Macaca fascicularis: one gene and its partners. The protein of the gene in region 5 interacts with the protein of the main gene of each other region in a biochemical or structural test. Links are inferred from orthologs where the notes say so. Each region holds a gene or a part of one and is shown on either strand. Other genes may lie near its edges.

Region 1 (4,282 bases), on a different chromosome or scaffold from region 5:
GGGAGCTAGCTTTGGAGAAGACAATGGGCTTCCGCTCACATTGAGGTGGTGGCTGGACATCTGAGGGAGAGGACAGAGCTGGTGGGAACAGAAGCAGGATGGAAAGACAGGAGGACAGACTGTGCAGATGAGAAAAGTCACTGTAAAACAGTAAACATCAAGGCAGACTACATGCATAGGACCTCTCCAAGGAAAGGCAGCCTAGAGAAAAGGGAGGAGGACTGAGGAGACATAGTGTGGGGAACGGGGCAGGAAGGGATCCAGGGCCAGCACAGCCAGGCAGTGGGGTGGAGAAGCCTGGGGCATAAGGAAAAAGGACAGGGACACTGCTTCCAGAAGGTGGTCAGAGGGCTCAGAGTTCAAGGAAAATAGGAATTTACAGAGGCCATTGGGTTTGAGTCACCTTACAAACACTGGGCATCTGTATGCCAGACCCTGGGCCAGGCTTCGGGGTGTTGGGTAGAAGTTATCCCCATTCGGAAGGCATCCACCGAGTACCTGTGATGGTGGCGGTCCCTGAGTGTGGAAGAGGGAGACTGAGGCCGGATTCTTTCTCGAGAAGGTCCAATCCACAATAAGGAAGGAAGACGGCTGGGGAAGGAGGGAGTGGACGGAAAAATATGTACAGTTGAGAGCAGACTACTAATTCAAAAAAATTAGCACTTAAGGAAAGTGAGAACTAGAAAAATAAGTTAAGAAGACAAAAGTCTTGCAACACACCCCCTACCCCTATCCACCATAAAACTTAGACTTGAATGTTTCTCAGCAAGAGAAAAGGCATTGCTGCAGAACGGAACTTGTTGTGGGAGGTGGGATTACTACGGAAATAAGCAGAAGACAGCCTCCCTTTCCAAAGAGCCAAGAGGAACCCATTTCATCTAGTTAAGAGACGAGGCAAAGAGGTAAAATGGTGACAACACGTCCTGGTGAGTGGTTCTGACCGTGTATGGTTGGAAAATGCTGTGGGAATCCGAAAGGGGAACCACCTGGGAACGGTTCTGGGAAGCCTTCTGGTGGTGTCACCGAAGGCTTCTCGGAGGAGGTGGCCTCTAACCCGAGCCTTAAAAATGGGAGGAGAGGCGAGGCCGGGGCCTGCCCGGCGCGGAGTACTCGGGAGCCTCCTCCCCGAGCCTCGCTTTCTCCTCTCGTCTCGCTCAGCTCAGCCGGGCGCAGGTTCCTAGCACTGACGTCAGCGAGCGATGACCTCAGCGCCGCCAAGGCTGCGAGGGCGGGGGCTGGGGTGGCGGGGGCGGGGAAGAGCGCCGGAGCGCGGGGCGGGGCGGGGCGGGCCCGAGCCCCGCCCCCATCCGTTGGCCGCGGCCAATGAGCGCCGCCACCGGTTGTCCCCACCTCCCTGGACCTCCTGAAAAAGGGGGCCCGGGGAAAGTCCGGGCAGAGCCCGAGCAGCGGCCAGGGCAGCGCTGGCTTGTGGACCCGTACTTCCCACCCGAGACCTCTCACTGAGCCCGAGCCGCGCGCGACATGAGCCACGGGAAGGGAACCGACATGCTCCCGGAGATCGCCGCCGCCGTAGGCTTCCTCTCCAGCCTCCTGAGGACCCGGGGCTGCGTGAGCGAGCAGCGGCTTAAGGTCTTCAGCGGGGCGCTCCAGGAGGCACTCACAGGTGAGCGCGTGCCGAGGGGCCTGGCGCCACCGGGGGTCGGCCCCCTTCCTGCCAGGGCCGTCTTTCCTTTACTCCTGCGGCAGGGTCACCCACAGGAGCAGCTTTGGGACTCGGTGGCCCTCCTCCGACCCCCGGGGCGGCCCGCAGTCCCCAGTTTCCTGGGTCTTCCTCCCCAACCCTGTGCTCGGGTCTCGGCCCGTGGCTGTTCTGATGGGGCGCGCCCCTCCACGCTCTCGGAGGCGCAAACCCTGGTCCTGGAGTGCCAGCCCGAGTCCCCAGCTTATGTCCCGGTCTCATTACGGGCTCGTCTCCCTCGCTGGACCCTCGAGATCTTAAGACCCTCGATGGATGTTGTTGCGGGCCGCCCGGTCGGCCGAGGGGTCCCGATGAGGGAAGAAGGTGCAGTCGAGCCTTTTCAACAACTCGGAGTCCCAGTGCCGTTCTTCCTGCCGGTCGGGGTGCGCTGTGCCTGGGGCAGTCCACTGGTTGCTGACTCGCTTCAAGTTGGAATTTGGGCCCCCTTTGTGTTCTCTTTGGTTCCCCTTAGCCATCTGCCACCTATTGTGGTAGGGAGGAGAGCCTGGTAGCTGGTGACCCTGCCCTGCTGGCCTTCGAGTTGGGAGGTGAAGAGATAAGCAGCCCGCTCGCTGGCTGGGGAGAGACCTCTCTCCCAGCTGTTTCTAGCTGGTTGCTGTCAGTTTGGGGAAGCGATAGCCATCTCGGAACGCACCCACACAGACCCTGCCTTCTGAGAAAAACAGATGTTTCATCAAAACAACCCAGTTTTCACTCCCTTGGGCACTGCTAAGGAAGGTTCCCTGACTCTTCTGAAGGAAGCAGAGGGAACACAGGGTGGGAGGCCCAATTACTTGCTGTGGACCCAACAATGTTGGCAGCCTTCCTGGCCCTGAAACTTCAGCTCACAGGTCTCCAGAGGCCCTGCCTGGACATGCCAGCCCCAGTCACACCCTTCCCTCCTGAAACTGGGGGTGTGCCAAAAGCAATACACTGGCCACTGGAGAGTACCCCAGAGCTCTGGAATCCCCTCCCAACATACACACACACACACACACACACACACACGTTCTGGAAGCAGGAAAGCAGATCTCTCCCGCTTCCATAAAATTTTCTCTGCTAAGTGGCAAGAGGGTCCTGGAACTCAGAGGAATCCACCTCCCTTACTTAAAGGGCCCCTTCCTCTCCTGTTCCTTGACCCTCCTCCCTGCTCTGTGGTAGTATCCATGGCCCAGCTGCTCTAACCAGGGCATCTCCCCCCGTCCTGTCTCCACAGAGCACTACAAACACCACTGGTTTCCTGAAAAGCCGTCCAAGGGCTCGGGCTACCGCTGCATTCGCATCAACCACAAGATGGACCCCATCATCAGCAGGGTGGCCAGCCAGATCGGACTCAGCCAGCCCCAGCTGCACCAGCTGCTGCCCAGCGAGCTGACCCTGTGGGTGGACCCCTATGAGGTGTCCTACCGCATTGGGGAGGACGGCTCCATCTGCGTCTTGTACGAGGAGGCCCCAGTGGCCGCCTCCTGTGGGCTCCTCACCTGCAAGAACCAAGTGCTGCTGGGCCGGAGCAGCCCCTCCAAGAACTACGTGATGGCGGTCTCCAGCTAGACCCCTCCGCCCCCGCCCTGGGCGCCGCCGTGCTCATGCTGCCGTGACAACAGGCCACCACATACCTCAACCTGGGGAACTGTATTTTTAAATGAAGAGCTATTTATATATATATTATTTTTTTTTTTTAAGAAAAGAGGAGGAAAAAAACCAAAAGATTTTTTTTAAGAAAAAAAATCCTTCAAGGGAGCTGCTTGGAAGTGGCCTCCCCAGGTGCCTTTGGAGAGAACTGTTGTGTGTGCTTGAGTCTGTGAGCCAGTGTCTGCCTATAGGAGGGGGAGCTGTTAGGGGGTAGACCTAGCCAAGGTGAAGTGGGAGACGTTTGGCTAGCGCCCCAGGAAGATGGGAGAGGGAGCGAGCAAGATTAGCAACTGTGAACAGAGAGGTTGGGATTTGCCCTGGGGGAGGAAGAGAGGCCAAGTTCAGAACTCTCTGTCTCCCCCAGCCAGACACCTGCATCCCTGGCTCCTCTATTACTCAGGGGCATTCATGCCTAGACTTAAATAATACTATGTTATCTTTTTTTTTTCCTTTTTCTTTTTAATTATACTTTATATTTCTTTTAATTTTCTAATGAGGTCCTGGGCAGAGAGTGAAAAGGCCTCTCCTGATTCCTACTGTCCTAAGCAGCTTTTCTTGAAATCATGACTTGTTTCTAATTCTACCCTCAGGGGCCTATAGATGTTGCTCTCCAGCCAGGAATCTAAAGCTTTGGGGGTTTTTGTTTTGTTTTGTTTTGTTTCTGAGGGGGGAGGAGGGAACTGGAAGTTACTGGGGTTAGGATGGGAGGGAACTCTGCACAAAACCTTTGCTTTGCTAGTGCTGCTTTGTGTGTATGTGTGGCAAATAATTTGGGGGTGATTTGCAATGGAATTTTGGGACCCAAAGAGTATCCACTGGGGATGTTTTTTGGCCAAACTCTTCTTTTTGGAACCACATGGAAGTCTTGTTGCTGCTGCCATGATCCCTTTGAGAGGTGGCTCAAAAGCTACAGGGAACTCCAGGTCCTCTATTACTGCCTTCTTTTCAAAA
Region 2 (3,598 bases), on a different chromosome or scaffold from region 5:
AGTGTCTCTTGAAAAACCTTCTCTTGATGCCATTCCTACAACTCCTCTTTTCTCAAAGTACCACGTAATTCCCTACATGCAAGCACTTACCACATCATTTTAGAATTGTCTGTCACTAAACTGTAAGCTCTTCAGGAGCCATTTTTGTAACTTTACACCGAAGCATAGTATCAGACATCTGACAGATATTTAAGAAATGTTTGGATGAAAAACCTGAAGTTCAGAAAAATGAAATGATAACCTGTCCAGGAAGACATACAGAGACAGATATACATGGTCCAGTGCTCTTTCTACTGCACTGTGAGGCATTACTGGTATAATTAATTATTCTAAGGGGAAAATGGAGGGCTCTGGTCACAGATGCAAAAATAATCTCACTTTTTTTTCCTCCACAAGAGGGAAAAATCAAGCCAAATGCCATTTGCAAATCTTTTCACACTTCCTGTTGAGAGCCATTCAGTCTTAATACTTCATGCATTTTTACACATCCCAGATGTATACAGTTTCCATAGATGATGCTAGTCTTTGATGCCCCCCTCAATTGTCTGGCTCCTCCTACCTTACACATTACTGCTGCTTGAGACTCACACCTTGGAGAATCAAGTAACTAATGCCAGACCATTCCTCAGACTCCTCCAACTACCACAGCAACACTGAGGAAACCCCCATCTCCCCGGCAGGCATCTTTTTCAAAAGATTCACTTACATGGAAGCCTCATAAACCTAAGCCTTCTGAGGAATATGAGGGAGACTAACAATAAAGAGAGAAGATGGGTATTCCCTCTGCAGTCCTTTGGAAATTGAATGCTTGGGTGATCAATAGAACACCCCAAAAAGAGTAAAAAGAATTCCCTTGAGTAAGATTAACCAGCTGTGTTTTTCTCTAGGATATGTCAAATGGTCTGTTTCACGTCGAACATTCTAATGAAGATGAGGTACTTGAAAGCAAAGCAGCTGCGAAGACATTTGAGACTGTTGGCATCCTTGGAGTTCAGCATTACGGGTACAAAATGCCTGAAATTTTTATTTTCTTTGGAAAAGGAGTTTTACTCTTGTTGCCCAGGCTGGAGTCCAATGGCACAATCTTGGCTTACCGCAACCTCTGCCTCCTGGGTTCAAGCGATTCTCCTGCTTCAGCCTCCTGAGTAGCTGGGCGCCACCACGCCCAGCTAATTTTTAGTAGAGACGGGGTTTCACCACGTTGGTCAGGCTGGTCTCGAACTCTCGACCTCAGGTGATCTGCCCACCTCGGCCTCCCAAATTGTTGGGATTATAGGCGTTACCCACCGTGTCCGGCCCACACTGCCTATAAATTTTTGCTCTATCAATTTTCACATCCTCTGACACTACATTTAGTTCCAACTCCCTCATTTAACATTCAAGAAAACCAAGGACTGTATCTTACCACCTCTCAGTTTTCTGATGAACACATGACACTTACTCAATTCTAGTTGAATAATATTCCAAATCCTTCATAAGCTTCCAGATTCATCCTTGTTATTAAATATTCAACAGTAGTATGTTAACTCTGACAACCACCTGGCCTTGCTAAAAGGCAAAAACAGTACCATTTCCTATTTATTCAAAGTAACGTTCCAACCAAGTATTTAAAGATAGTAATAAGCAAGATAGATAAACTGGCCTGTCCTATCTCTATCTAGTCCTCAGTTATAGTCTGAAAAAAGCTGCTCACCAATCTGTGAAACATCAACAGTCAACCTCTTCCAAACCAAACTCATCCTCAGCAAACTCCTCCAGGAAAGAAATCCCTGAGTGTGCTCAGAATTTAACTCAGTAACACTAGATGTTATAAGCTTCTTGCTGCTAGCCTCTACTCTCTACAGCATAAACTTCTTGAGTGCAGGGACGCACCTTAGTCACCTTCTTAATACAATCTCCTTGTTCCACACTACTACCAAAATACTCAGCTAGGTGAAGACCCTGTTAAACCGTAGTTAACCAAGTATCAGAATGCAGGCACATTGTGGACCCGAGATACTGACAACAGATACCGGTACACAATGACTACCACATTAGACAAGGAGGGACAGAGTGGCCTTGGAGCATAATGCTTGGAGAACTAGGTACAAGCAATGAACTACCGCAGGAAAATGAACATAAATGCAGAATTTGGTATACATACAGGTTATGCAGAGACCTTAGTTAAGAAACCCTACCTTCACAACAGCATAAGATCCCAGTTCTCTTTTGCTCAGAAGACACAGGATATGGATTTCCTTACCGGTACTAGAAATTTCTTGACTTCCTCCATGGCATGGGCCATAAGAGCATAAGCCTCACATGGGGGTCCAAAGACTTCAATGAAGACATGCAGATCCATATTCAAGTGGGCATATTTGGGGTCTCCACCTTTGCGCAGCTCTTCCTCCTATGGAAAAATGCAGAGAAACGTCACACCACATGGACTAGGGAGAAAACAACACCTTTACCTCTAAGCCAAAGGAACAGCAAGAAATATCCCCAATGTCTAATTAAACTAACAGTAAAGTTTAATTGGTATGAGCTGAGAAGAATTAAAAAAAAAAAAAAAGAAAGAAAAACAGTAAAGTTTAAGAAAGTAAAACAAGCAGCCAGGCATGGTGGCTCATGCCTGTAATCCCAGCACTTTGGGAGGCCGAGGTGGGCGGATCACTAGGTCAGGAGTTCCAGACCAGCCTGACCAACGTGATGAAGCCTCACCTCTACTAAAAATACAAAAATTAGCCGGGCATGGTGGTGCTTGCCTGTAATCCCAGCTACTCAGGAGGCTGAGGCAGGAGAATCGCTTGAACCCGGGAGTTGGAGGTTGCGCCACTGCACTCCAGCCTGGGCAAGAGCAAGGCTCCGTCTCAAGAAAAAAAAAAAAGTGAAACAAGCTCTGAAGAACAGTAATTTGCACAGCCTGCTAAACTTGCACATGGTCTGCTGCTAACAGTTAATTGTCATCTTAAATCCCTGAGATATCCACTGGAGCTCTTACTAAAAGCATAAAGAAGAAAAACTTAATTCTAGTCTCTATTCAGATAATAGCTGTGTGCCAAGCATTTGTTTTTAAATCTCAGGTAGAGCTGTTAATCACCACGAGCTCTGCTTATCTGCTTATATGGTCTAGGGAGTGCTAGGGGAAGAAAGAAGTCAGGACAGAGAGAAGAAAAGCTCATGTAAATCTCATTAGCTAGAACAACACACTTCAGCCCTAACTATATGCATCTAGTAAGAAATGACCTGAGAAAACAAACACGTGTCCATTAGGCTACATAAAAGGAGGATTGAAAGAATAGGTTTTCGGACTGTAGCAGGCATATCTCATCAAATAAAGTGACCCCAGAAGGCTAAGACCATTCTGTTTTGGTGAGAAGTTTCTTGTCACAGAGTACACAGTATATGCGGCTATGGCATGGGAAAAGACTCATTAGATTCTGTAGTCAGGATTACTCATGGCTCCTTTTGGAATACATTCTTTTAGTGAGCCTCACATTCCAGCCGGCTATAAAACAAACCAACTAATCCTCAAACTCTTCTGCTCTCACAACACTATTGTTCTCACTTTTCCAGGTTACAAAAAAGGGGGTGTGCTGTTTGCCTTTTAGTGTCTTTT
Region 3 (3,598 bases), on a different chromosome or scaffold from region 5:
CAAAAAATTAGCTGGGTGTGGTGGCCAGTGCCTGTAGTCTCAGCTACTCGGGAGGCTGAGGCAGGAGAATGGCGTGAACCCAGGAGGCGGAGCTTGCAGTGAGCTGAGATAGCGCCACTTCTCTCCAGCCTGGGCAACAGAGTGAGACTCCGTCTCAAAAAAAAAAAAATTCTCCAGTCAGCAGAATTTTATCCCTGAGAAGCAGGAAGAAGGAAGTAATGATGATATAAAACTTATATAAAGTTTTAATGGCTCTCTTTTTTGAGTGATGACTATGTGCCATGCATGTATTAAGTGCTTTAATTTAATCCTCATACAGCTTTACTTTTATTCCTATTTCCAGATGAGGAAAGTGAGGCAAAGAGAGATTAAAAAATAATTTTTCCAAGCTTACATAGCCAGGATTTCAATCTAAGACAGTCTGACTCTAGGTCCTATACTCTAGTGGACTACGCTGTATACCCAGTGTGACAGTATTCTTTACTTGCTTGATCTATACTGGCGCTCTGTCTGGATAAGTGTCTTTATGATTAGCTGAACAAGGTTACTGGCTGTAGGTTTCTCTCATCTCTTTATTGATCTACAGGTGAGCATGTTAGGGAAAGGATTTGGTGATGTCGGTGAAGCTAAAGGCGGCAGTACTACGGGCTCCCAGTTCTTGGAGCAATTCAAGACTGCCCAAGCCCTGGCTCAGTTGGCAGCTCAGCATTCTCAGTCTGGAAGCACCACCACCTCCTCTTGGGACATGGGCTCAACGACACAATCCCCATCACTGGTGCAGTATGGTGAGAAGATGGAAAGTGACTTGAATCTTTAAAGCATTGGAGCATTACTGTCAAGAGGCTAGCAGGGGGAGGGGGTGGAGAATGTGTCCTGAAGTGAAGAAAAGGGGAAGCTAGTTGATTACCTTCCTACATGTATTTCCCCTAATCAAATAAGCTGAATTCAGAAAGTTGGGGAATAATAAAATTTGAGGCTATATATTTCTCATCAGATTTAGAGGCTGGGCATGGTAGCTTACACCTGTAATCTTAGCACTTTGGGAGGCTGAAGTGGGAGGACAGCCTGAGCCTAGGAAAAATCGTTTTCAATTAAATGAGCGTGGTGGTGTGCACCTGTGATCCCAGCTCCTAGGGAGGCTGAGGCAGGAGAATTGCCTGAGCCCAGGAGGTTGAGGTTGCAGTGAGCTGTGTTTGCACCACTGTACATTAGCCTGGGCTGCAGAGCTAGTGTGTAGCTAGCTTTTCTCAAAAAAAAAAAAAAAAATTTTAACCATATACATACTTGCAGTCTTCTGTTGATTGGGGTTTTAATTATTATTCTCCTTAGATTTATCTTCAGTGTTTGAAAATAACATATTGCCTTTAGGTTCATAGACTTCGCCATCTTAAGATTTTATACAGTAAGTCTTCACTTAATGTCATTGATAGGTTCTTGGAAACTGCGACTTTTTGCGAAACATAAGACAAGGTCTCGTTCTGTCATCCAGACCGGAGTACAGTGGCACTATCTTGGCTCACTGCAGCCTCATCTTCCTGGGCTCAAGCAGTCCTCCCACTTGAGCCTCCTGAGTAGCTGGGACCTCAGGCTTGTACCACCGTGCCTGGCTAATTTTTTATTTTTTCTGGAGATGGGTTTTCACCATGTTGCCCAGGTGTGTGTCGAACTCTTGGGCTCAAACAATCTGCTGGTCTTGGCCTCCCACAGTGATGGGATTGCAGGCACGAGCCACTGCGCCTGGCCATTTTTTTTTTTTCCCTCATCAACATTATAATGAAATCATGTTGAAGGAAACTGTTATTCAAAGATGTGCCATGCATTGTTTTTGCTTAAAGCCAGTTTCCAAGCACCTATGGATGATGTTAAATGAGAACTTGCGGTACTTTAAACTTGGACAATTTGTGCATTCCTTTCTTACACAGGCTGGGTAATGGTGTTGATTTAATTAGGCTTTATTTAAGGATGGATGTAGGCCAGGTGCGGCGGCTCATGCCTGTAATCCCAGCACTTTGAGAAGCCGAGGCGGATGGATCACTTGAGGTCAGGAGTTTGAGACCAGCCTGGCCAACGTGATGAAATCCCGTGTCTACCAAAAACACAAAAATTAGCCAGGCGTGGTGGCACGCACCTGTAGTCCCAGCTACTCTGAGGCAAGAGAATCGCTTGAACCCAGGAGGTGGATGTTGCAGTGAGCTGAGATTGCGCCATTGCATATTGCATTCCAGCCTGGGTGACAGAGCGAGACTCCATCTCAAAAAAAAAAAAAAAATGTAATCCAGTGATTGTCACCTATAGAAATGAGATTAAGCCCCGAAAGAGGGCCTGCTTATATGAGTTTCTGATTTTTACAGTCCTCATTCATGGTGCTAGTGCAGGATAATAGCATTTCCTTGAGATTCATCAGCATCTCTGGCTTCATATTCTGGGTTTCCTCTTGCAGATTTGAAGAACCCAAGTGATTCAACAGTGCACAGCCCCTTTACAAAGCGCCAGGCTTTTACCCCGTCTTCAACCATGATGGAGGTGTTCCTTCAGGAGAAGTCACCTGCAGTGGCTACCTCCACAGCTGCACCTCCACCTCCGTCTTCTCCTCTGCCAAGCAAATCCACGTCGGCTCCACAGATGTCGCCTGGATCTTCAGACAACCAGTCCTCTAGCCCTCAGCCAGCTCAGCAGAAACTGAAACAGCAGAAGAAAAAAGCCTCCTTGACTTCTAAGGTACTTAAACTTTTAGGTAGATAACATCTTATGGCAAGGGGTGTGGGGCTTGGAAATTGAGATTAAAAGGTAAGTTTAGAAATTTAAAGGGAAAGGTTTTTTTGGTCTTTAGTAAGGTTGTATTAAAGCCATTACTTTCTCTTCTCCTTCACCTTTCTCTATAGATTCCTGCTCTGGCTGTGGAGATGCCTGGCTCAGCAGATATCTCAGGGCTAAACCTGCAGTTTGGGGCATTGCAATTTGGGTCAGAGCCTGTCCTTTCTGATTATGAGTCCACCCCCACCACGAGCGCCTCTTCAAGCCAGGCTCCAAGTAGCCTGTATACCAGCACGGCCAGGTAGAGGAAACATTAGCCATAAGACCTCTCTTATTAACCTTTTACTACTTTTTTAATCTGCGGGTAATTTTTAGAACTCTGGAGAGGCCAAGCCTCTCTGCATGGCTGGGGGAAAATAGTCAATCATAGCACTTTGAGTGCTTTAAAATATTATTATTAGGGTTATCTATAACTAAACAGGTAGAAATATGCCCCCTAGGGGCTGGATGTGATGGCTCACACCTATAATCCCAGCACTTTGGGTGGCCAAGGCAGGAGGATTGCTTGAGGCCAGGAGTTCAAGACCAGCCTGGGCAATATAATGAGTCCCTGTCTCTACAAATTTTTTTTTTTTTTTTTTTTTTAAACACAGAGTGTCACTCTGTTGCCTAGGCTGGAGTGCAGTGGCACGATTTCGGCTCACTGCAACCTCCGCCATCCGGGTTCAAACGATTCTCCTGCCTCAGCCTCCCGAGTAGCTGGGATTACAGGTGCCCACCACCATAACCAGCAAATTTTTGTATTTTTTAGTAGAGATGGGGTTTTACCATGTTGGCCAGGCTG
Region 4 (3,598 bases), on a different chromosome or scaffold from region 5:
GACGTTGATTTCTAGAAAAATGAAATTTACAAGTACTGTAAAGTTGAATACTGTGCTGTTGCAGATGCTGTGTTCCAACTCTGCTTTGATTTTCTGTTGGTAGGTCAGAAGCGGACTCCTAGAAGAGGGGAGCAGCAAGGATGGAATGACAGCCGTGGGCCAGAGGGGATGCTTGAAAGAGCTGAGCGGAGACCCTACAGGGAGTACCGACCCTATGAGACCGAGAGGCAGGCGGACTTCACAGCTGAGAAGTTTCCAGATGAAAAGTACGTGCTGCAGTCCTCGGCAGGGCGGGTGGGGAACCAGAAAGGTGTTTAGAAAATGCTACTTTCTTTTTTTTTTTTTTTTTTCTGAGACAGAGTTTCACCCTTGTCACCTAGGCTGAAGTGCAATGGCGCAATCTCTGCTCACTGCAACGTCTGCTCCCAGGTTCAAGCAATTCTCCTGCCTCAGCCTCCTGAGTAGCTGGGATTACAGGCGCCCACCACCATGCCTGGCTAATTTTGTATTTTTAGTAGAGATGGGGTTTCTCCATATTGGTCAGGCTGGTCTTGAACTCCTAACCTCAGGTTCCGCCCGCCTTGGCCTTCCAAAGTGGTGGGATTACAGGAGTGGGCCACCATGCCTGGTCCAGAAAATGCTACTTTCTACTGGCTACTGCTTTTTGTGTTATCAGTCCTGGGAATGTTTTACTAATTTATGTGCAATTCATATTACCTTAGATGATGCGAAGGATCTTCCTTTTTCCTTTACGCCTTGGTTCAGGAAATGATTTTACAATTAACAATGAATTGCTTATTGGTAACTGAAGAGCACTCTTAAAAAGAAATTACACAGGAGGGTGTTGAACTGGTAAAGTTTTGTTTTGAAGTTGTAGATTAGAGACACAATTTTGGGCTAGGGATATAATTATGGTTTTTGATTTCGCATTACCAATTTCGACTGCTCAATGGATTGAAGTCAGTTCCTAGCTCCACGGTCAGGTCAGTAGGCTGCCACGGTGAAATTTGAAGAAGACTCTGTTGTGATGTGTAATACCAGTTTCTGGCAGGCATGGCTGCTCTCGGAAGTCCCCTAACACGGATGGAAGTCGTGGGCTGGTGGAGTGTTGCATGGCTGCTGAGTGATGCGGCAGTGTGGTGGCCGCCGCACTCCACCTGAACAACAGAGCTGTGTCTTATGCTTGGCACTAGCAGGGTGGGTACTTGCTGCTTAAAGCCTTTGTTTAATCTTTTTTTTTTTTTTTTTGACACGGAGTCTCCCTCTGCCGCCCAGGCTGGAGTGCAGTGGCCGGATCTCAGCTCACTGCAAGCTCCGCCTCCCGGGTTCACGCCATTCTCCTGCCTCAGCCTCCCGAGTAGCTGGGACTACAGGCGCCCGCCACCTCGCCCGGCTAGTTTTTTGTATTTTTTAGTAGAGACGGAGTTTCACCGGGTTAGCCAGGATGGTCTCGATCTCCTGACCTCATGATCCGCCCGTCTCGGCCTCCCAAAGTGCTGGGATTACAGGCTTGAGCCACCGCGCCCGGCCTGTTTAATCATTTAACCTGTTTATGTTAAACAGAAACAACTAGTGAATCACATTTCAAGGAAAATTAAACAGGCTAAGGAAGGCTAGAATAGTGAACAGTGAAATGTCAAGGGAGCCATTTTTCCAAACTCTGCTTCTTGACTGCTAATTCCATTCCATTTAGGATTGTGGCTACAAGTTTTAACCAAAACATGTGGCTTTGTAAAACTATACTACAGGGCCTATTACAAACAAAACAAAACAACAGTCCAGCAGAGAGTAACTTAGCCTGGGTGGGCTGAGCAGGTGATGACTCACGCAGAACTGTTCACCTAGAAGTTACACATTCAAGACATTGAGATGGTCTGTCTGCAACCATGTTGGAGGGAGAAACTTACAGAAGGGCTTAATTTTGCCCCTTTTTTGGTGATTACTTCAGATCTGCTGTGTAGTAAGCACAGTCTACTTGCTTCTGCAAAGCTTCCGGGAGCAGAGCTGCTGATTTTCGGAAGCATTTGGGTATTTATTTTCCCCTCACTTCAGGGATTCTGTGGAAACGAAGAAATTATAGTTGACTTGCACAAACCCATGTTTCCCCCCTTTTTTCGTAGCAAGACTATGTAGTCTTTAAAAAGGATAAAATAGATCTTTATATGTGACATGAAAAGATAGCTATTAAGTGAAATAATACGTATATGGAAGAGTAAGGTGGGATATGGAATTATGGAGGGTTTTTTTTTTATTTAAATAAATTCAGAATTACAGAAGAGTTTTAAGAATTATACAAAGAATTTCCATCTGCCCTTCAAGACTCCCCACACACTATTTACCACATTTCCTTTATCATCCATGCCCCACCGCACCACACAGCCTTTTCTTGTCATTTGAGAATACGGTGTAGGAATGTCCCCTTACTCCTAAATACTTTAAACGCATTTTCTAACAACATGATACAATTTTCAAACTCATTAAAATGAATACAATACTGTTATCTAATTGTCTAAATTACTAGTCTACAGACTTTACTCAGATTTCACCAATTGTCCCAGTGATGTGTTTTAACACAAGAGAAAACATTTCTGGTTCAGGATCCACTCCAGTAAATGCGTCGTATTTAGTCATCTTTAATTAGGAGCAGCTCCTTAGCCTTCCTTGGTCTTTATGAATTTGGCATTTTGAAGAGCATGGGCCAGTTATTTTATAACATGTTTCAGATTTTGAGTTTTTCTGATGTCTCCTCATGGAACGAGATTGCGCACTTTTGGCAGGAATGCCACAGAAGTAACGTGTTCTCAGTGCGTCACAGTACAGATATGTAGGGAATTTTCATTTTCGAGGAAATTTGAATCTTGATATCAGAAAACATTTTCTTAGTTTCTTTTTTTTTTTTTTTTTTTTTGAGACGGAGTCTCACGCTGTGGCCCAGGCTGGAGTGCAGTGGCGCGATCTTGGCTCACTGCAAGCTCCGCCTCCCGGGTTCCCGCCATTCTCCTGCCTCAGCCTCCTGAGTAGCTGGGACTACAGGCGCCCGCCACCGCGCCCGGCTAATTTTTTGTATTTTTTTTAGTAGAGACGGCGTTTCACTGTGGTCTCGATCTCCTGACCTTGTGATCCGCCCGCCTCGGCCTCCCAAAGTGCTGGGATTACAGGCTTGAGCCACCGCGCCCAGCCTAGTTTCTTAAATAATACTCTTTTTTTTTTTTTTTTTTTTTGAGACGGAGTCTCGCTCTGTCACCCAGGCTGGAGTGCGGTGGCCGGATCTCAGCTCACTGCAAGCTCCACCTCCCGGGTTTACGCCATTCTCCTGTCTCAGCCTCGCGAGTAGCTGGGACTACAGGCGCCCGCCACCTCGCCCGGCTAGTTTTTTTTGTAGTTTTTAGTAGAGACGGGGTTTCACCGTGTTAGCCAGGATGGTCTCGATCTCCTGACCTCGTGATCCGCCCGTCTCGGCCTCCCAAAGTGCTGGGATTACAGGCGTGAGCCACCGCGCCCGGCCCTAAATAATACTCTTAATAAATAAAACATAGAAAGTTTTATGTCTGACAAACTCACAAGCAAAAGAAGGAAAATAACATTCGGGCCAAGCATC
Region 5 (3,598 bases):
CCGTGCTCTACGCCCGGGACAAGTGGCTGGTGAGGCCCCAGCAGACGGGTGCAGCTCGCATGGGCTGGGGGCCAAAAGCACTCAATTTTTCCCACAGACGGGACTTACTATGGGGGTGTGGCTGCAAGGTGTTAGAAGGCCACAGCCCGAGCCAGGTGTGACAGACCCTGGTGGGAGATGGTGCGATGTGGGGGGGTTTGTAGGAACAGGAAAACTATAGCAGGGCACTAGACCAGGTTCTCCGGCCCCAGCAGGCCGCCCCGGGAGAGGTGAGGTGACCGAGAGCTGGATGAAGATGTGGAGGGGTGGCCAGGGCAGGTGTTCCCTTGCTGCATGTGGAGCAGCAGGGAGGCCCGTGTGGAAGGAGGGTCTAGAAGGGCAGCAGGAGGAGCAGTGGAGGTAAGGGGTGACAGGGCATGTGCAGATTTTGTGGGGCCTTATGGGACCCCGCGCGACTTTGCTTTTCCTCTCAGAGCAGCCAGGGAGGGTCTGAGGATCCCCAGAACCTCGAGGGACAGGAGCTGACTGAGGTGCCCCTGGGTGCCCTCTGGCGGCCGTGTGGGAAATAGACCAGGGGGTGAGGGGTGAGTGCCGCTGCGACATGAGGGTGGCTCAGACCAGGGCAGAAGGTCACATCTCGGGGGCAAGAGTCAGGGCAGCGTTGCCAGGCCCCACCCTTCATGCCTCGCCCTGCCCCTCTGCAGGCGCCCGATGGCCTCATCTTCCCAGACCGGGCCACGCTGTATGTGACGGCCATCGAGGACCGGCAGTACAAAGACTACAAGATCCACTGTGAGCGTGGCCCAGGAGCGGGCGGGCGGGGCCCCGGGTGGGCTGCCGCGGGCTCACCCCCTCCCTGCCTGCCTCCCCAGGGTGGGAGAACGTGTATGGCTTCGACATGTCTTGCATCAAAGATGTGGCCATCAAGGAGCCCCTAGTGGATGTGGTGGACCCCAAACAGCTGGTCACCAATGCCTGCCTCATAAAGGTGAGGGGGGGGGGTGGGCATGGCCAGGTGCCCCCTGGGTTGAAACCAAAGAGAGGCCATCACCTGGCCCTGGCATGGGACTTTGGGGCCCAGAGTGTTGGCCTGAGGTCTCAGAGCCTGACCTGCCAGCCAGAGGTGGTGCTAGGGGCCCAGGAAAGACGTTTCATCCTTTAAACATCTTTGTGAGCGCTGCCGTGTGAGAACCACGTTTGGCACTTGGTGTCCGGCAGAGGACACACCCGCAGCTGGTAGCTAAAGCCCACAGCCCGTACACGGGAAGGCAGGACCTGGGGCGATGAGCGGGTGCACACGCTGCAGAAGAGCAGGGGGCCAGGCTGGGATCCGAGATGTGCCTGTGGTTGCAGCTACTCAGGAGGCTGAGGCGGGAGGATCTCTTGGGCCTGGGAGTTCAAGGCTGCAGTGAGCTGTGATCACATCCCTGCACTCCAGCCTTGGTGACAGTGTTTTGTTTTGTTTTTAACTTTTTTTAACTTCTGAGACCCTGTTTATTTATTTATTTATTTTTTCTTTTTTTTTTGAGACGGAGTCTTGCTCTGTCGCCCAGGCTGGAGCGCAGTGGCCGGATCTCAGCTCACTGCAAGCTCCGCCTCCCGGGTTTATGCCATTCTCCTACCTCAGCCTCCCGAGTAGCTGGGACTACAGACTCCCGCCAACCCGCCTGGCTAGTTTTTTTTTTTTTTTTTTTTTGCATTTTTTAGTAGAGACGGGGTTTCACTGTGTTAGCCAGGATGGTCTCGATCTCCTGACCTTGTGATCCGCCCGTCTCGGCCTCCCAAAGTGCTGGGATTACAGGCTTGAGCCACCGCGCCCGGCCGACCCTGTTTAAAAAAAAAAAAATAAGGCAACGAGTATTTGTTGAGCTGGGATGTGTGAGCCGGGTGAAGCTGGGTGGTTGGCCGGGGGTTCCTGTGGGGAGGAGGAAGCTGTTGAGTGGGAATGGAGAGGAGACTGGAGGGGCAGGGACCCCACCCAGGCCACCCTCCTGAGAACCAGCGGAACTGGTGCAGGGTTTTCGGTTGGATTGCCGTTTGAAGCCATCATGCTGGTGGACTTGTGAAGGGTTGGGGAGAGTGGGGAGCGCGGAGAGGGGGGAGCGCGGAGAGGGGGGAGCGCGGAGAGGGTGGAGTGCGGAGAGGGGGAGCGCGGCCCGGAGAGCGCGGAGAGCGGGGAGCGCGGAGAGGGGGGAGCGCGGAGAGGGGGGAGCAGGGTGCCTGCATTCCCAGGAGGTCTGGCCAGGTGGGGTCGGGGCGGGGTGGGCTCTGGACAGAGTTAGGGTGGCGGCGCCAGGTTTGGGTGCGGGAGAGAAGGGAGCAAAGAATCTGGGCTCAAACCGAGGCGGTTTATTGGGAGCCGGACAGTCAGGATGAGGAGTGAATGAGGAGCTGAGGCTGGGTGCCAGTAAGGGAGGGCCAGCGGGAAGGGGACAGTGAGGTCACAGGCCCTCTGGGAGCTTGAGGGAGGGAGGAGGGGATGAAGCGAGGTGGGGACACATCCCGGAGCTCACCCTCTCCTGTCCTGCAGGAGGTGGACATCTACACCGTCAAGGTGGAAGACCTGACGTTCACCTCCCCGTTCTGCCTGCAAGTGAAGCGGAATGACTACGTGCACGCCCTGGTGGCCTACTTCAACATCGAGTTCACGCGCTGCCACAAGAGGACGGGCTTCTCCACCAGTGAGGCGGGGCCCGCAGGGCTGGGGGCTGCTCCTGAGCCAGGGCCGAGGGGCACCCACATAGTGGAGGGGGTGACAGAAACGGGCAGAGGGAGCCATGGGGACATGTGTGTTCCAGCGTGAGCTCTGCCATGTAGCAGTCACGTGGCCTTGAGCAAGTGATCTGAGTGTGCAGTGCCTCAGTTTCCTCATCCACAAAAGCCTGACACGGTCCCTGTCTCCAAAGCTGAATGACAGGGAGGTGACTCACGGACAGCAGTCCCGTCAGCTGTCAGGGGGGTGGACATTCCAACAGAGGGAACACAAGACTGGGGCCAGGGCAGCAGGCCAAGGCCAGCTGACCCGCCTGCGCCCCCAGGCCCTGAGTCCCCGTACACGCACTGGAAGCAGACAGTGTTCTACATGGAGGACTACCTGACCGTGAAGACGGGCGAGGAGATCTTCGGCACCATCGGCATGCGGCCCAATGCCAAGAACAACGTGAGGCTCTGGGCAGCTGGGCAGGAGGGTGGCAGCCGGGGTGGGGAGCATGGATAGGGGCAGTGGTAGGGGGGAATGGTGGCAGCGTAGGGGATGGGGGTAGCTGGGGCGGATGGGGGCAGCTGGCAGGGGCGAGTGCCTCTGCCTGTTCCCGGGTCCCTGAGCCCCTCAGCCCCACGCCTGTCTACACAGCAGATTTCTTAGCATTTACTGGAAGATGGGCCTGGGGACCCAGGCCAAAGCCCTGTCCTCCTGGTGCTTCCAGTCTACACAAGGGGATCAGTGACATGGTGATGCCAGTGGGAGGTGACCTCTGTCAGGCTGGGAGCAGGGCAGACAGGTGTTGGCGTGGGTGAGCTCCAGGGCAAGAGGCGGCCCCGGTAGAGCGCACAGGGTTTGCTAGCCCAGGTGGGAGGCATGAGAGGAGGAGAAAGGCAG

The links.
Region 1: the proteins of PRMT1 (region 5) and BTG2 form a complex in vitro, tested with the Homo sapiens proteins (2 studies listed by BioGRID). The link is inferred for Macaca fascicularis from reciprocal best matches to the Homo sapiens genes PRMT1 and BTG2.
Region 2: of the proteins of PRMT1 (region 5) and KHDRBS1, one has a biochemical effect on the other in vitro, tested with the Homo sapiens proteins (2 studies listed by BioGRID). The link is inferred for Macaca fascicularis from reciprocal best matches to the Homo sapiens genes PRMT1 and KHDRBS1.
Region 3: of the proteins of PRMT1 (region 5) and UBAP2L, one has a biochemical effect on the other in vitro, tested with the Homo sapiens proteins (2 studies listed by BioGRID, with this or other methods). The link is inferred for Macaca fascicularis from reciprocal best matches to the Homo sapiens genes PRMT1 and UBAP2L.
Region 4: the proteins of PRMT1 (region 5) and HABP4 form a complex in vitro, tested with the Homo sapiens proteins (2 studies listed by BioGRID, with this or other methods). The link is inferred for Macaca fascicularis from reciprocal best matches to the Homo sapiens genes PRMT1 and HABP4.

The regions. Positions count from the first base shown.
Region 1 is NC_088375.1:61,129,426-61,133,707, forward strand, and holds the start of BTG2 (protein BTG2), read left to right. Parts: upstream 1-1,394; 5' UTR 1,395-1,482; coding exon 1,483-1,624; intron 1,625-2,915; coding exon 2,916-3,250; 3' UTR 3,251-4,282. UniProt on the Homo sapiens protein: Anti-proliferative protein; the function is mediated by association with deadenylase subunits of the CCR4-NOT complex. Activates mRNA deadenylation in a CNOT6 and CNOT7-dependent manner. In vitro can inhibit deadenylase activity of CNOT7 and CNOT8.
Region 2 is NC_088375.1:202,998,397-203,001,994, forward strand, and holds part of KHDRBS1 (KH domain-containing, RNA-binding, signal transduction-associated protein 1), read right to left. Parts: intron 2,390-3,598; coding exon 2,243-2,389; intron 1-2,242. UniProt on the Homo sapiens protein: Recruited and tyrosine phosphorylated by several receptor systems, for example the T-cell, leptin and insulin receptors. Once phosphorylated, functions as an adapter protein in signal transduction cascades by binding to SH2 and SH3 domain-containing proteins.
Region 3 is NC_088375.1:106,904,518-106,908,115, reverse strand, and holds part of UBAP2L (ubiquitin-associated protein 2-like), read left to right. Parts: intron 1-586; coding exon 587-785; intron 786-2,440; coding exon 2,441-2,718; intron 2,719-2,882; coding exon 2,883-3,055; intron 3,056-3,598. UniProt on the Homo sapiens protein: Recruits the ubiquitination machinery to RNA polymerase II for polyubiquitination, removal and degradation, when the transcription-coupled nucleotide excision repair (TC-NER) machinery fails to resolve DNA damage.
Region 4 is NC_088389.1:126,607,924-126,611,521, reverse strand, and holds part of HABP4 (intracellular hyaluronan-binding protein 4), read left to right. Parts: intron 1-103; coding exon 104-266; intron 267-3,598. UniProt on the Homo sapiens protein: Ribosome-binding protein that promotes ribosome hibernation, a process during which ribosomes are stabilized in an inactive state and preserved from proteasomal degradation.
Region 5 is NC_088393.1:57,657,566-57,661,163, forward strand, and holds part of PRMT1 (protein arginine N-methyltransferase 1), read left to right. Parts: coding exon 1-29; intron 30-704; coding exon 705-792; intron 793-872; coding exon 873-988; intron 989-2,530; coding exon 2,531-2,681; intron 2,682-3,038; coding exon 3,039-3,160; intron 3,161-3,598. UniProt on the Homo sapiens protein: Arginine methyltransferase that methylates (mono and asymmetric dimethylation) the guanidino nitrogens of arginyl residues present in proteins such as ESR1, histone H2, H3 and H4, FMR1, ILF3, HNRNPA1, HNRNPD, NFATC2IP, SUPT5H, TAF15, EWS, HABP4, SERBP1, RBM15, FOXO1, CHTOP, MAP3K5/ASK1, MICU1 and NPRL2.